Pelodiscus sinensis: one gene and its partner. The protein of the gene in region 2 interacts with the protein of the main gene of each other region in a pairwise test. Links are inferred from orthologs where the notes say so. Each region holds a gene or a part of one and is shown on either strand. Other genes may lie near its edges.

The links.
Region 1: the proteins of PTK6 (region 2) and FCHO1 interact in binary tests that used the Homo sapiens proteins (3 or more experiments, as listed by UniProt). The two-hybrid records come from large-scale screens. The link is inferred for Pelodiscus sinensis from reciprocal best matches to the Homo sapiens genes PTK6 and FCHO1.

The regions. Positions count from the first base shown.
Region 1 is NC_134729.1:17,886,512-17,893,716, reverse strand, and holds the start of FCHO1 (F-BAR domain only protein 1), read right to left. Parts: upstream 3,032-7,205; 5' UTR 2,826-3,031; coding exon 2,713-2,825; intron 2,624-2,712; coding exon 2,553-2,623; intron 36-2,552; coding exon 1-35. UniProt on the Homo sapiens protein: Functions in an early step of clathrin-mediated endocytosis. Has both a membrane binding/bending activity and the ability to recruit proteins essential to the formation of functional clathrin-coated pits.
Region 2 is NC_134728.1:5,756,361-5,764,368, reverse strand, and holds the start of PTK6 (protein-tyrosine kinase 6), read right to left. Parts: upstream 3,100-8,008; 5' UTR 1,149-3,099; coding exon 850-1,148; intron 1-849. Other genes in the region: tyrosine-protein kinase Srms, read right to left, coding at 6,891-7,084, 7,972-8,008. UniProt on the Homo sapiens protein: Non-receptor tyrosine-protein kinase implicated in the regulation of a variety of signaling pathways that control the differentiation and maintenance of normal epithelia, as well as tumor growth.

The DNA of each region.
Region 1 (7,205 bases), on a different chromosome or scaffold from region 2:
GGGCCGACACCCCCCGCCGCTCAGGTGGCCGGCCTCTGGACAAACACAGACACGGGGTGAGGCCGAGGCAGGCTGCTCCCTGCCACGCCCCAGGGGGGCACCGTGGGACGGAGGGGGGCTCCGCTCGGGGAGGGGACACATCACCCCCCCCGGGTGGGAACATTCCTGAGCTGCTAGAGGGGCGCTGGGACACCTGGGTTCCAACCCCAACTCCAGGAGGACACGGAGGGAGCTGGGATGCCTCCGTTCTCTGGAATTGTTCAGGCTTCTGGTGCCTCAGTTTCCCCACTCCCAAGCCGGGAGCCGATTTGCTATGTGAAGCCTTCCTCTCAAGGCACAGCGCCTCTCACGAGACCGGAGTTTCCCTCTCATATTCTGCCACCGACTCCCTGCATGAGGCAGGGCAGCCCCGTGCCTCAGTTTCCCCTCCTCAAAGCGGGGCCCAGCCCGCCGCCCGTCGGTCCCCGCAGGCTAGCGGGGATAGGCCCTCGTGGCCTGGCGGTGCTTCGGGGGGCAGAGCGACTCGCGTTTCTTTTAAAACACGAAGCAGCTCGCAGATCCATGCGGCTGTTACCATGGAAACAGGCTGCTCTTTCTATCCCACAGTCGCGGGAGCCAGGAGAGCGGCGGTGCCGGCATAGGCTGTTCACACCCGCCGAGGGCCGACAACACCGGGCCTGGCACCAAACACCCTCCCGTCCCACTCCCCTGGGTGGCTTTCCCCAAACCCAGGGGGTTCTGGATCCTGGATCCGGCCCCCCCCACACAGGGATGGTTCCCTCAGGCTGGCCCGAGCCGGCACAGAGGAGAGGCGAGAGGAACGCGACCAGGTGCTGACACCGGATAGGCAGCTGAATAATGAACGAGGCTGTGCCGTGCTCCTCCGGCACCTCCTCCCGCCCCGTCGGCGCACCCTGCAGGCAGCTGCTCACCACATCCCCCGCACGCGCCGGGCGCGTTTCCCTGTGGGGAAACTGAGGCACAGAGGCGGGCGCTGCCCAAGGCTGCAGAACGACTCGGAAACGGCAACAGAACCAAGGAGTCTAGCTCCCCATCCTCTCCCCCAGCCTCGTGCGAGCAGGTGGCGGAGTCTCCCGCGCCGCGCCGGAGGCTGATCCTGGCAGAAACCACCAAGGTCGGAGACCTCCTAGACTACAACAGGGGGGACTGGGTGGATCTCTCCACCCTCCGAACCCCCCTGCACCTACCCCCCTTGCCGCGGCCCACTCTCGATCTCCTACAGAGCCCTGTGTGAGGGGACGCCCTGCCCCTCCCTTCCCGCAAACCCTCCGTCCCTTCTTATTGGCCCCTCTTCCGTGGGCCCCCCCAGCCTCCCCATCCCTGGACCCCCAGCCGGCTGGCTTTCGAACCGCGCCTAGAGAACATCTGCACACGCTCGTGCTCCGTACTCTGCATCCCCCCCTCGTGCCCCGCCCCGATACCAAGGGCAGGGCTACCTAAGACCCGTTGAGGATGGGGGACCCTGATGTGCCCGTGTGTATTCTGCCTTAATCCCGCAGCCCATCGGGGACACTAGCTGGCTGCTCCTCCATGGGGCCGTGAGCACGGGCGTGTACTTGGCGCGGTTCACCCCCATCCTGGACGCCTGCCCCTTGTGTGGCGTGAGGGAAACACTGGCGCACACCTACCTCGAATGCGCCAGGTAGCGGCGCCTAGTCCGGCTCCTCCAGAACCTCTTATTAAGGTTCTGGCTGCACTTTTCCCTTCCCCTCTTTATCTACGCACACCCCATCCGGGCCCCACAAGGGCGCAGGACCTCCTCGCCGGCCTCCTCCTGGCTGTAGCCAACCGCCGGCTAGAACACCAGGAGGGGGATCCTGGACGAGGGGATCCCTGCGACTGGGGGGCCTATTTCCGTTCCTCCCTCGTGGCACGTATCCGGCAGAGTTCCTCTGGGCAGCGTCCACTGGCTCCAGTCACAGCGTTGAGGAGCAGCGGGCGCTGGCCGGGGTTCTCTGCTCGGTGTCCCCAGCTGGCTCCCTTGTTTTGAACCTGTGACCAGCACCCCTCCTTTTAGTCATCATTGGTCCCCAGTACTCAGCGGAGCCTGGGACGTTATCCCTCCCTCCCCATGGGCTCCCGCGGGAGCCCACTCCCTTCTCAGCCCCCAGGAATCCCGGCTGCCCCCGCCGGTCCCCAGCTCAGAGGGGTCCCTGGGACACACGAGGGGAGGCTCGTGAAGCCCCTCGGCCCCTAGTGCTCTCGCTCACGGCGGGGTAGGGGGACGCACCTGCCTGGCCTCTAACCAGACCCTGCGTCACCTGCTCCTGGAGTCTCTGGCTCCCCGCATGGCACCGCTGCTGGGCGGGGGGGACCAGCCCCGGCCCCCCCCAACTCATTCACCCGCTCCCCGACCTGCCCCTCCCCCTCCCTGCAAGAGTGAAAAACAGGAAACTGGGAAATCTTTGCGCGCTCAATTTTTCTAGTCTCTCGGGGCCCGGGGTTGGGGGACCAGCAGCCACCGCTGGGTTCTAGCCCCGGCCCCATCTGCAACCAAGGCAGCCCCCCCGCCCCAGGGCCACCGGACTCACCCAGCACTGAGGGGCGCCCGGTCCCGGCTGGCTCATGCTCAGCTCTGTCCTCCTGGCGAGGGGACCCAGCCCTGTCAAGAGAGAGAAACCAGAAGTCGGCACAGTGCTACTTCCGCTGCAGGGGCCCGAGGGAGGGGGGCGGGGGGAGTGGAACCAGCACCTGTGAGGGCCAGCTCCCTCCCTGTGCCGCTGGCCCAGCCTGGTGCTACAGCCCCTCCTCTGCCCTGGCGGGCACAGGCCTGACACAAGTGCGCAGCCGTCAGCGTGGGGCATTTCCCAAACCGGCGCTCTGCACACGCCACCTCCCGCCCACGGGGCTCCGGGCACGTTGGAAAGGAGAATGATGAGAGGAAACTGAGGCACGAAGGGACCGTGACTGGCCTGAGTCACCCAGCGGAGCTGGGAATAGAACTCAGAGCTCTCGAGTCCCCAGGACCAAAGCTCTACCCATTAGGCCCTGCTGTCTCTGGCCTAGTCATGTTCTCGCCCGGCCTGCCCCCCCCCCCCCATCCGCTCTCCGTGAGGCACCCGGGGGCGCTGCCAGTCCTGTCTCCCCACAGCAGCCTCCCGCCTAACCCGCCAGGGCGACCCACACAGGAGCGGGGCAGAGTCCACTCCGGGAGAAAGGACGCAGAGTGGAAATCGATCAATCCCGCCTCCCTGCGGGCTCATGACAGCACGGGGCTGGCATCCAACAGCCAAGCAGAGGGGATAACCCCAGCATCCCACTTTCCTGACGTCCCATGGTGCCTGGCTCCCGCGCAGCCCCCCCCCCCCCGCCCTCCGGGGTGGCCAGGATCGCCAGCTCCCCACCCCTACCTGGAGGGCGCTGCCCCAACCAACGGGTTCGGATTTCTACAGCCGCCCCCGCTTGGTCGCGCTGAGGCCGAACATGATCCCTGCTTGGCGGTGAAAGGCAGCCACCTCTGGGACGGAACGCGGCAGCTGCAGAACCACCCACAGCAACGCACCTCATGCAGGTAACAGGCAGGCAGGCTGGGATGGCCCCAGCCCCCAAATGCTGCAGAGGTGCAGCAGGCACCTCAGAGCGCTGGCGCCACCCCTGCCAGCAGACACGGGCCGCACGACAGGGAGCCGACGAATCCAAAGGCCCCAGCAGCCCTGGCCACACGGGTGCCCCGAGACAGGTGCCACCCGCTGCCAGGATCCGCATGGCAGGGCTGCAAATGCAGCCCACCCCCCTGCAGCCATGGCGGGTGCTAGGGGGCTGCGGGTCAGCGTTGAGGGGGGGCCCAGCCCTGCAAGGTGGGGGGGGCTCCGTTCGACCTGCCGCAGAGGGAGGCTTGGGACAATGCCCACCCGCCCTGCCAATCGCTCCATTTCCCAAGCGCTAAAATTAACCCTCCGAGGGTGGCAACGCCCAGAGCAAACTGGGAACGGGGCGCAGCCTGGCCCCGCTGGGCCCCGGGGAGCCGTCAGGCCTGGGACAGGGCCCCCGAGCTGGCCAGGGAACACCCGGGGCTGGCATTTAAACAGGAAAAGCCTGGGCAGGGAGCAGCCTTCCGCTTGGGAACATCCCCCCGTCACCCGCTGCCTCCCTGCCCCTCTCGGCAGCAGGCCCCCCACCCCGCATGCTGCTCACCCCAGGCCTGGCCCCACCGCAGGCGTCCAGCAACTTGCAGGGCACCTGGGTCTGGAGGAGCTGGCTTGCGAGAGCCCGTGTGTCACCCCAGTGTCCCTCTGCCCCGGATGCCCACCCCATGCCTCCGGGCAGCGGCAGAGGGGGTGCTCCTGGGAGAGAGAGGGGGATCCTGTCTTACAGAGCCGAGGGGGGGGTGCCTCAGTCTCTCCCCCCCCCCGGGGCCTGCTCAAATGGAGACATTGCTTGCCAGCCTGGCCCAGAGTTTTACCCAAGAAGGGACACATCCCCTGGCTCCTTTCGTGCCCACCTTCCCCCGGCTCCGAGAGGTACCCCCACCCGGCACCCCACACCCAGGCCCCAGCGGAACCGAGAAGCCACAAGCTCGCTCAGGGCCATGGAGCCGGGTGAGAAAGGGACCCAGCGAGCAGGCACTGGGTCCAAAGCCCGCAGGCTGGGCCCGGGGAAGCTGGCCAGGCTCTCACCCGTGTCACCAGGCTCCTGAACTCCCCCCTGGCCTGGGGCCAGAACTGCAAACTGCCACACCCCCCCCAGGGCACTGACCCCCTGCTGGCTACCCGGGTGCCCGAGGAGCAACTCCCCCCCCCCGGCCAAGGCAAGGCCAGAGGCACCTGCCCCTCGCAGATCTCCTGTAGCTTTCCTAGGCCTCACCACCCAGCGAGGGAAACTGAGGCACCAAGCCACCCAGCTCCTAGAGGCCTCACTCCTCCTGCCACCAGACTCCTGCCAGGGCTGCGTTTGGCCCCGCTAAGGTGAAGTAACGGCTGAACTCGCTCCGGGCCTGGAACGGTATCCAGGAGTCTTCCCCCCACCCCACATGCTCTGATCTCTAGGGCACAGGAATCCCGACCCCCAGCGCCCCCGATCCCTCAGCCCCTGCTCTAGGCACAGGAGCGCCCCCTCCTCCCAGCCAAACACGTCTGCCACCGGGAGAGGTCCCCGGCTCCCGGATCAGCCCAGGAGGGGCGGCGGAGCTGGGGAAGGAATTCTGCACTCCCAGCTAGCAACAGACGCCGTGCTCCCCGGGGTCACTCCAGGCCAGGCTGCCACCAGGCGAAGCCGAATGCCGGAGGGAGAGGCGCAGGGCTGGGCCCACGGGGCCCCAGGCTTGGCAGGAACCAGGCGATGCGCCGAGGCCGAGCAACGCACCAACAAACAACGCACGTCAGTGTCAGCCGCCCGGCGCTGCCAGCACCTCCCGCCGAGCCGCAGGCAAGGAGCAGAAACCAGGCCTGCGTCTCCCCCCTTCCCGGAGCAGCTGCCAAACCTCCCCGGGCAACTAGTCCCCCGGCAAACGCGCATCAACCCGACCGGCGCAGGGCCCTGCCCCGCCCATGCAGCTTCAGGCGCCGGCAGGGCAGGTCCGCCCTGGCCTGGAGCCGGGCCCAGGGAGACGCTGCGATAGGAGAACGCGCCCGGCGCTGAGCCGGTCCCCCCTCGCCTGCCCTCCGGTGCGGTGGGAGCAAGCGGCCCCCGAAGCTTTCAACCCAGCCCAGCAACAGACCCACACGAGGCGCTTTGAGGCTTCAGAACTGGCCTGGAAACTCAGCGGAGGGGAGGAGGGTGCAAGGGGTGGCAAGCTAGCCCTCTGTTAGCAGCCGTGGTGGGTCTGGGCGCCACCGGGTACCACGCTGCCAGCCTAGGGCTACAGCAAGGGTGCCAGGCCTGCAGAGTGAGCAACGTCGCCCTCTAGCGGCCGGTGCCGGGAGGATAACGCTCTACTACTGCTGCCGCCTTTTACCCGCTTCGGTTCACTCTGGTCTGTGCTGAAGACGGCAGGTTCGAATCCTGCCGGGGCCTGCACCAGAGCCGGCACGAGCCAGGATGGGAGAGGAGCAGGGCAGGGCAGGGAGCGCGATGCCAGCCCCGCCCATGTGAAGCGCCAGCCCCAGGCTCCAGACACACTGCGGGCTCTCAAAGGGTCCCCGTGCACCAAGAGGACAGAGCAGAAGCCGACCCCAAGGAATGAAACATGCAAGAAGGCAAACGCAGCACCCCCTCCCCTCCCCTCCCCCCCCCCACACACCCCAGCCCTGCATCATGGGGAGCGATGCAGCCACCCACGAGCCCCCTGGCAAACAGCCCAGCCCGGCACGGTGCTGAGAGGCCGCCCACAAGCCACATCCCCCCAGCGCCCCGCGTCAGCGGTGTCGTGCGGCGGGGGCTTCCAGGGGTGGGGCTGACGCCAGGGCCCCCGCACAGCTAACCGGCGCCTCTGAAGAGCGCTTAGCCAGCGGGCGCGTTCGGGGCTGCACCCGCCCCCCCACGCGCCCCTCAAGCTGCCGCCGCGCAGTTGCTCAGGTGTCAACGGAGACAAGGGCTGGCGAAGACGGTTACCCTCCCCCGCCCCTCGCACTCCCCACCAGGCAAAATCCTGCTGGATCCTCACTGCCCGAGCCAGGTGGAGGGGCGACCGCTCACCCCACATGGCCTAACCCCGCACGCTGCAGCCCCAAGGCGCCCCAGGGGCAGACGGCAGGTGCACGGCTCCGGCTCCCCATCCCGTGACCTTCACCGGAGAGCAGGGACGCCCGCCCCCCACCTGTGGGGCTGGGAGATTTCAGGCAGGTGGCTCGGCGGGGGCAGGAAGTGAGTCCGGGAGGAGGGGTGGGGGGAGGGCACGGAGGACTCTGCAAAACCCATTCCAAGCGCCTTCCCAGCAAAGGGTGCACCTGCCCGCTCCCCCCCCATCCCGCCTCCCCAACACCTGGCCAGGCTCGCCCCCCCCCCCTTTTGCAAATGACAAACACTGCATTTTCTCAGGCACGGGGGGGGGGGGGATGATTGCGAGGCGGATCTGCCACCACCCCCGGGCCTGGGGCCCACGGACACCAGCCAAACGGGGGGGGATGTGGCCCCACGCAATTAATGCCCCCCCCTTCCCAAGACAGACAAGCACCTGCCCCCGCAGCCTGACAGGAGGGGGGGTGGAAGCGGCAAGGAAGAGGGGGGACCCCACGCGGGGAGGGAAGCGCAACCGGGGGGGGGCGGCTCCCTGGGGGGATCAGTGGGGCGCACAAAGACCCCCCCCC
Region 2 (8,008 bases):
GGGGGCCAATGAGAGTCTTCGCAGTATCACTGGTCTGCACCTCCAACCACCAAGAACTTGCTTCAGTGAACAGGACTCTGCTCCCGCTCTATCAACATGCTCCTCGTGCTAAGGGAGGTCCGGTCTCTTTCAGCATCTATGATTCCTTGTGAGGTCGCTGTATTGTCTTTGGGCAGTACCCTGACCCCAACGCCCTGGACATAGATTTAGGCCAGGAAGTTTCACCCCAAGGCAGCTCCGTGTCACTGGTATGGCTCAAAGGTAGCCAGCGCATGCCGGAGATCTGGGCCCCACATATCCTGCCCTTCCTGCTTCCCTTCCAGAGGCCGTCTGCATCATCCACTGCAGGCAGGACCAGCAACGGGACAGAGGGAGCAAAAGAGGCAGTTCCTCTGGGCCCTTTAAATCGCTGCTGAAGTGCTGCATGGTGTGGTCTGGGCAGTGCTAAGGACTTGGCAGCCTTCAGCCCCGCCCCTTCTCTTTTTAGCCCCGCCCTTCCCAGGAGTGCAGCGCTGCCCCCCCCCCCACCTTGCCCAGGGAGGCTGTCGGCTCTGCTGACTATGGGGGGCACATGGGTGTCAGCCATAAGTTCTCTCTAGCCTGGCCCCTGGGGGGTATTACACAGCTGCCCTGGCTAACAGCCTGGGTGTTTCATTGCAACCCAGACCTTCCTAAAAGGGCTGTAGGTTCCCATACAGACCCAAGCCCCTTTATATGAAGCAGGTGCCAAGGCAAACACCAACCTGCTTGGCTCAGCTAAACTGCCATGTGGCTGAGAGACCCAAATCCCACTTCTCTTCCAGCATGAAACGGGGGTGAAGTCGCTGACCCCGGCAGGGTTTTACTTACGGTTCGGCTTCCATTGTCTCCCGCTCAGCTAAGTAATTGGAAGGCACATAGCCTTCGGCCAGGACCTTGTGTGAGCCATCGACTTTCTTGGCCCACCACCATTCTCCTTCACGCCGGGTGACCTGGAAAAGCTCTCCTGCCCAGAAACTGATTTCTGTTGGTGTCCTGGCCTCGAAGTCCCAGAGGCTGGTGTAAAGAGGTGGGGCTGCAAGCCTGGAATTCATGCTGCCGAGCGACGGAGGCGCGGCGTTAGGGCAGGCGCTCGGTCTCCCAAGAGCCAACGCCAACGAGGTTCTCATCGCCTTCCAGCCATGAGCTCTTTATGGAGCCGTGCCGAGCCGCCCTGGGAAATGCGTCTCCTGCTGCCTTCCGAAGGTGTTTGTGCAACTCTGCCAAATCAGCTGACTAGAGGCAGGTCAGACGCGGCTTTGCAATAACGCCCTCTGCACTCGATAGCTCAATTACTGCCCTGCCCTTCTGCCACGCCTCTGTTGGCAATAAAAGGGCAGAAGGAAGCCAAGTGTGTGACTCCCAGGTCTCAGGTGGGCCCAAGGCACCTGCCCTGTTGAGCAAGCTTGGCTACCTGGAGCTAAAGTCCAGAGCTCACACCCTAGCAGCAAACTATGGTAGGACAGACTTCCTCTTGGCCTTGGGAAGCCCAGCAGGAACATGGGGTATTATTTGGGTGGCTGCCGTGCTCTCTGTTGGGCCCTGAACTAGCTAGGTCACAATCACACTCCCTTAGTGAATGTCACCCAGCTGTAGATTGCTACATAGGAGAGGGAGAAAAGGGGGTCAGAGGTGCTAGGAGAGAAGAGAGCATGAGCGGTGGGTGAAGGTAGGGCTGGGGGAAACAAGCAAGCCCAGCCCCGCCTCTTCTGCCCAGGCCTGGTCCCCTCCACCACAGGATCATGGGGCAGCATGCAGCCCAACCCCTCCCCAGCACCACGGGGAGGGTGGAAGGTGTATGGCCCCAACCTCCCCAGTCCTGGAGCATGGGCATGGCGGGAGGTGGGGGCAGTAACACTCCATCCCCAGTATGCCTACAGTGGGCGTTCTGGGGGTGGAGTGTGGGTGGGGCCAGGCTGATGGTTTGGGAAGGCTGTGCCTTCCCCTGCCTATGATATCCTGGAAGAGAGGGAGAGGAATTTATAGAGAAAGACGAGAGTGAAGGGGGTAAAAAAGGAGGACGGGGAGGTGAGAGAAAATGGGAAAAGAGGCAGAGGGGAAGGGAAAAGGGAACAAAGCAGAATTTGAGAGGCTTAGCGTCAATTCTTAAGTCCGAGGAAGGATTTCACGCAAGTTAGAAAGGCGGTTTATTATGTATGACCCAAAGGGTGTAAGGCAGTACCCAGGCCTTGGTTTTGGGGCAAGGAGGCGTGGTCAGTGGCTTTCTCATGCCCCAAAACAGAGGCCCAGGAGGATGTTGGCTTACCCGGTTATGTGCCATATGTAATAGCTGCCCCATAAGAGCCATTTTGCTGTATGTGCATCCCTCTTGGATGGGGTCCCCCTAACCTGTCACTCTTATGGGGCCAGATTGAAGTCTGTGGAACACTTCCTGTTGGATTTGAGGGGTGCTGGACAGAGACCATACAGGGCTTTTCACCTGCAGATCTCAAACTGTGGGACGTGGTAGCATGAAGGGCAACTGAGGCACGAGGAGTAATTTTTTAAAATTCTAATCTTGACCTCCAAGGAGATTGCTTGCTATGCCTCCCAGCGTGGCATCAGCTACAAACTGTACATACATACTCTAATTGTCGTTATCCAAATCATGTATGAAAATATTGACTAAAACCAGACCCCAGACAGACTCCTGTGGGACCGGCCACTTCATAAGGCCTTCCCACCGGACTGTGAACCATTGATAACTCGTCTTTGAGTATGATCATGCCAACCAGTTGTGCACCCACCTCGCAGTAGGCTTATCAAGGCTGTATTTCCTTGGTTTGCTTAGTCGTAGGTCACGCAAAACAGTAGCCCACGTAGGGATGTAAGAATTTAACTGGTTAACCGATCACCTGATGCGCGCTAGTTTCTGTTAAAGATTAAATTCTGCCTCGGGTCATGCCTGCCGATGCCGTTCCTGGGGCTTCTCCTTCCTGGCTGCTACCTCATGCCCAGACTCTGCTGCTACCCAGCAACCCTTGTGTTCCCATGGGCTGCCGGAGCTGTGGCCAAGGTCCCTCCAGGCTGTGGGCCAGATCCAGTGCAGCTGCCCTACTCCTGGGGTCCTGGCTGATGGCCCTATGCCAGGGTCTCTGCTGCTATCACACCTGGCGCTCTGCTGCTGCCCAGCATCCTGGGCTGCCAACTCCGCACACAGTGTCCTGGGTGGCAGCAGAGCCTCAGGCACGGGGCTGGCAGCCAGGACCCCAGGAGTAGAGCCAGCAGCTGGGAGCCTGCACGTATGCTGGGATGCCTTAGGTGCAGGGCCGGCGACAGCTGGGACCCTATGCGCACTGGGTTGCCCACTGGTGGCAGATCCTCAGGTTTGGGGCCAGCAGCAGTTTCCTGGGCACAGGGGTACCCCTCCAGCATCCTTCTGTACTCCTAGGTCCCCAAGCAAACATGTAACCAACAGAATTTTGATCAGTTACACGGTTACTGTTGTTATACATCAAGTTGAGCTATAGCACATCTACTGCTTCCCCCTATTCATAAGGCTCCTTACCCTGCCATTGAAGGCTATTGGATTGGTTTGCTCTTGACAACTCTATGCTGACTGCTCCTCTATCTTCTGTGTGCTTACGAAGTTTGATGTTATGCCCATTAACTTCCTGGGTACCAAAGCTAAACTAACTGGTCTATAATTCCTGGATTGCCTGTAGTCCTCTTTTTATAGCTAGGTTTTATATTCGCCCTTTGCCAGTGCTCTGGGAGCTTTCCTGTCCTCCACGCGTTCCCACAGATAATCACTAATGGCTCAGCAATTTCTTCAGCAAATGTTCCCTGAAAGCTGTACACTTGCACAACCACTCAGGAGAGATTCCAATGCCACCCAGATGATTAGCAGAGCACCCACAGCTCATTTGTGTTTCTCATGTGGTGCACATTTATGCAAGCCTTGGTGCATATAACAAAATTTATTCTGCACTTAGATGGAAAAATCTGTACAGAGATGGAAAAGATTAGAGGGAACATTGCCTCTAACTTGCCTAAGTAGTTCTTAATGTGTTCTTTCCCTATTTTAGCCTTGGATCTTCCCCCATTTACATTGCTATTCACTGTGAGTTGTCTGAACACTGCTAATTTTTTGGTGAAAACTGAAACCAAAAAGGCATTTAATGCTTTGGCTTTTGCCGCGTTTTCTGTTATTGCTTTTTCCTCTTCATTGAGTAATGGCCCTACCTTGTCATTAGTCCTCTTGCTTCTAATGCACTTGTAAAATGTTTTCTTGTTACCCTTTATATCTCTAGCTTATTTTGTGCTGTGGCCTTTTAAATTTTTTCCCTATGTGCTGGTGTTTTTTTAACTCATCCTGCATAATTTGACCTGGTTTCCGCTTGTTGTATGACTATATTTTGAGTTTCACGTTTCTGACAGTCTCCTAGGTAAGCCACGGTGGGCTCTTACCACACTTCCTATCATTCTGACTGGGATCAAGATAAAAGCGGGAGGCAGACCTGTTGAAAGTCACTCAGTAAGGCTAAATGGGTTGTAAACAAGAATGATGTCATGAAAAGTGCCTGTTATAGACCACCTAACCAGGAAGCAGAGGTGAACAACTAACCAAACCACCCAACGCACATTAGGTTGTGATGGGGGACTTAAGCCACTCAGACATTTGTTGGGAAGAGAATGTTGGAGGGACCACCAATTAGCCAACAAGTTCTTGGAATGCACCGGATACTTTTTATTACGAAGGGTGGAGGAAGCAACCAGGGAAGAGGCTGTTCTACATTTGATTGTTTCAAACAGGGAGGAGCTGGCTGAGACATTGAGGGCTGGAAGAAAGTAATCAGGAAGCTGATAAGAGTTTTTGAGCAATGGTAGGAGGAACAGCTGCAGGCTGATGGACTTCAAGGAGGCAAATTGGTATGTATGGTCCCATGGGAAGAAAGTGTAAGGAAAAAAAAAGTTCAGGACAGTTGGTCATTTTTCATTAAGGCCACAATTGCAAACTATCCCAATGCATAAGAAAGGTAGGAAGTACGATAAGAAATGGATAGACACATCGGTTTTTATTTTTTAAGAGGACCCTTTCCTAGATCCTCCTGGGAACCAACCGAAAGCTTCACAGATACTTTGATGAGAAATACAGAGAACTCTGGTTAAAATGCTCGTATTTAAAGAGGCGGAAAATGTACAATTAGAACATCGACATTTGCAATTGACAAATAAAAGGAATGCAGTACTTCTGGCTGCCACTGCGTGGCGCTAAAAGACAGGGTGATCCCGCTTAGCTCTCCTTCACCTCTCACATCTGAAGAAGTGGGCTGTGCCCACGAAAACTCATGATACCATCTACATGTTTTGTCAGTCTTTAAAGTGCTACCAGACTATGTGCTGTTTTTTAAGTTTCTCCTAGCCTACAACTTAGGGATGCTCATGATGGTTTATTGTTTCATAGTTGGGGGACACCAAGAAACCAGGCGTCTGTGCTGCAGAGGCCTATGGCAGACAGATGAGGCATAAATAATGGTGAGGAAGGATGATGGTTACAGGAACACTATTATAGCTCCCTCCCTCCAATTTGTGGCAGAAAGGAGGGGTGGTAACTTGCAGTTCAAGGCAGAGTGGGAGAAGTCTGAGCCCCAAATGGGGGGTGCATGGATCTCTCCAAAGAGGAACCAGGGATTCACAGCAAGATAAAGCTGTGTTGACTACAACACGGCTAACTTAGACACTGCCCTTGGCGAGGACACTGAAGCACGACCTGCTCCGCCCGCACTGTGGAAACTGGGTGGGTTTATTACATTCATGGATTGAGGGCTCCATCAGACACACACCACGAATAAGTCCATGTCAACCACTCACTCACTCCAACAACGAAAAGGGGAAACTTCACGTTCAATGCAGCAGGTGAAACCCTGCCATGCTGTTTAAATTCAGAACTTCTTGTGCCCATGCTGACCGCTTTGCTGGACCCCATCGACCAGGATGAGTCCTCTTGTGATGTGATGTGATGGGGCATCTGCCCAGCACTGGCCCTTAAAGGTGTTAAAACCCAGCCCAGGAGGAACGTTGGAACTGTGGAGACAGCAGCTGTATCTGATAGGAGCCAATTTAACTGAGGGCAGTATAAATACAAACTCCTGGAGGGGAAGACTCAGAGACCCTATTGCTCCAGCTGTGGAGTAGGAGAGACCTGGTTGCTAGGGAAGCTAGAGGCTTCTTGATTTAGAGCCTCACTGGGGAAAGTCAGGCAGAGCTGGGGAAACTCTGGTCAGGCAAGCTCCCAGACTGCAGGGAAGGCAACCAGGATACACAAAAGCAGCAGGTCCACAACCCCTTGCCAATGATGAGTGGCCATTTCAGACTGCAGTTTGCCCTGAGGCAGGGGCTAGATGAAGACTAGCAGTGAGTCACTGAGGCAAGGTGGGCATAGGGGGATTGAGAGTCCCCAGAGGGGGAGGACTCCAGAGTGTGGGGGCACTGTGGTAGGGCAGTACCCCAGTAGGAAGGCGTCACCATCTGAGAGAGCCATGGGCCCTGACATGGAGTGGTGGCGAATAACAGTAACAGCAGGTGAGACACCAGCCAGAAGGGGGCGCTCCAGCCCCAAAAATGCTAATTCCCTGAGTGACCAGCAGGAGGCGCCTTGGTGGTGAGGCCTGCCGTGTGACAGGGGCACGGTCACACCATAGCTGGGAGGCTCACCTTCTCCACAGTGGAACCTGGTTTCCCGTGTCTCCCCAGAGGAAAGCCTTGTGTATTTTCACCCGACACGTGCCACACAAGAAAGCCGTCTGGGCTCAGGCCTCTATGAGTCAGCCAATGGGGTGGAGGCCCCCGGCCATGCTGCAACACTGGGCGGGAGTGAGAACCAAAGCCCAAAGTAATAGGGGCGGGTGTTGGCTATTATGCCCTTTCCGTCAGGAGAGAGAACTGTGCAGCCGTCTGTACAGAGAGCAGAGTTTCTCTCGCAGCACGATAAAGGCGGGTCGTTCCTCGGCGTTGCCCTTCCAGCACTCCAGCATGATGCAGTAGATCTCCGGAGGGCATGTGCTTGGCCGGGGGAGGCGGTAGCCCATGCTGATTTGCTGGATGGTTTCTTGGTTCGTCATTCCTGTAAGAAAACCAAAGAGGCTCCAATGACCTTCTTGAGTCATTTTGGAATCTCTATTCACCATCCTGTCATGGAGTTTATCCCCCAAATGGCTCAGGGTGAGTGTGAGGGGTCTAGCCAGCCTGAGAGACGGCCCATATGGAATGGCTTCTCCTTCGCTGTTCAGTCCTTCAGCAAGTGCACCTCCCATGAGTAGCAACTATCTGGTTCAGGCCTGTGCCGTAGCTGCTCCATGCAATGGGCTGGCAGCAGTGGGGCCGACTGCCTCTCTGGGCCCCTGGGCGAGGCGGGGTAGAGGTGGGGGCTGCTCCGTGCCCCAGAAGGGGTGGGGCTTCAGGCATAAGGGGCGGGGGCTTGGGCTGGGCAGCCCTTAGTGCTGCTGGGAGAGTGCACGCCTCCCCCCAGGCAGCGCTCTGTGCTTCCCAGAGTGCACTGCATGGGGCTCCGGCAACGATGTAAAGGGCTGGAACATCAGTGAGGTGGGGAGCTAGAGGACAGCAGCCTTGAGTAAGGGGCGCACAGTGAGGGTGGCTCTGCACTGCAATGAAACCAACCAACCCACAGCACCGAGTCTCGGGGAGGGGGAGGCTTTGTCAGTGGGTTGAGGGCTCACAATAGTTGGACAGCTGTTAGGGCTCAGGTCAGTTCTATGAGTCTCTCCCCCACCTTTGCCAGGTTGCATAGTCTAGGCTCCAACCTGCGTGTCTACACTTAGCCCTGCAATGCGAGCCAGAATCAGTTTAACCTGGGCGCCAAGCGTCCTGGCCATGGGGGCTTTCTGTGTGTCAAAGCACCCTGAAGGACGTGCTCTGGAAGAGCGTGGCGCTGTATCCCTCGGAAGGCAGCCTCGCCGGACAAAGGGGAGAGGGAAGATGTGGGCGCCATACCTTCATATGGGGTCTGCCCGTAGGTGAAGACTTCATA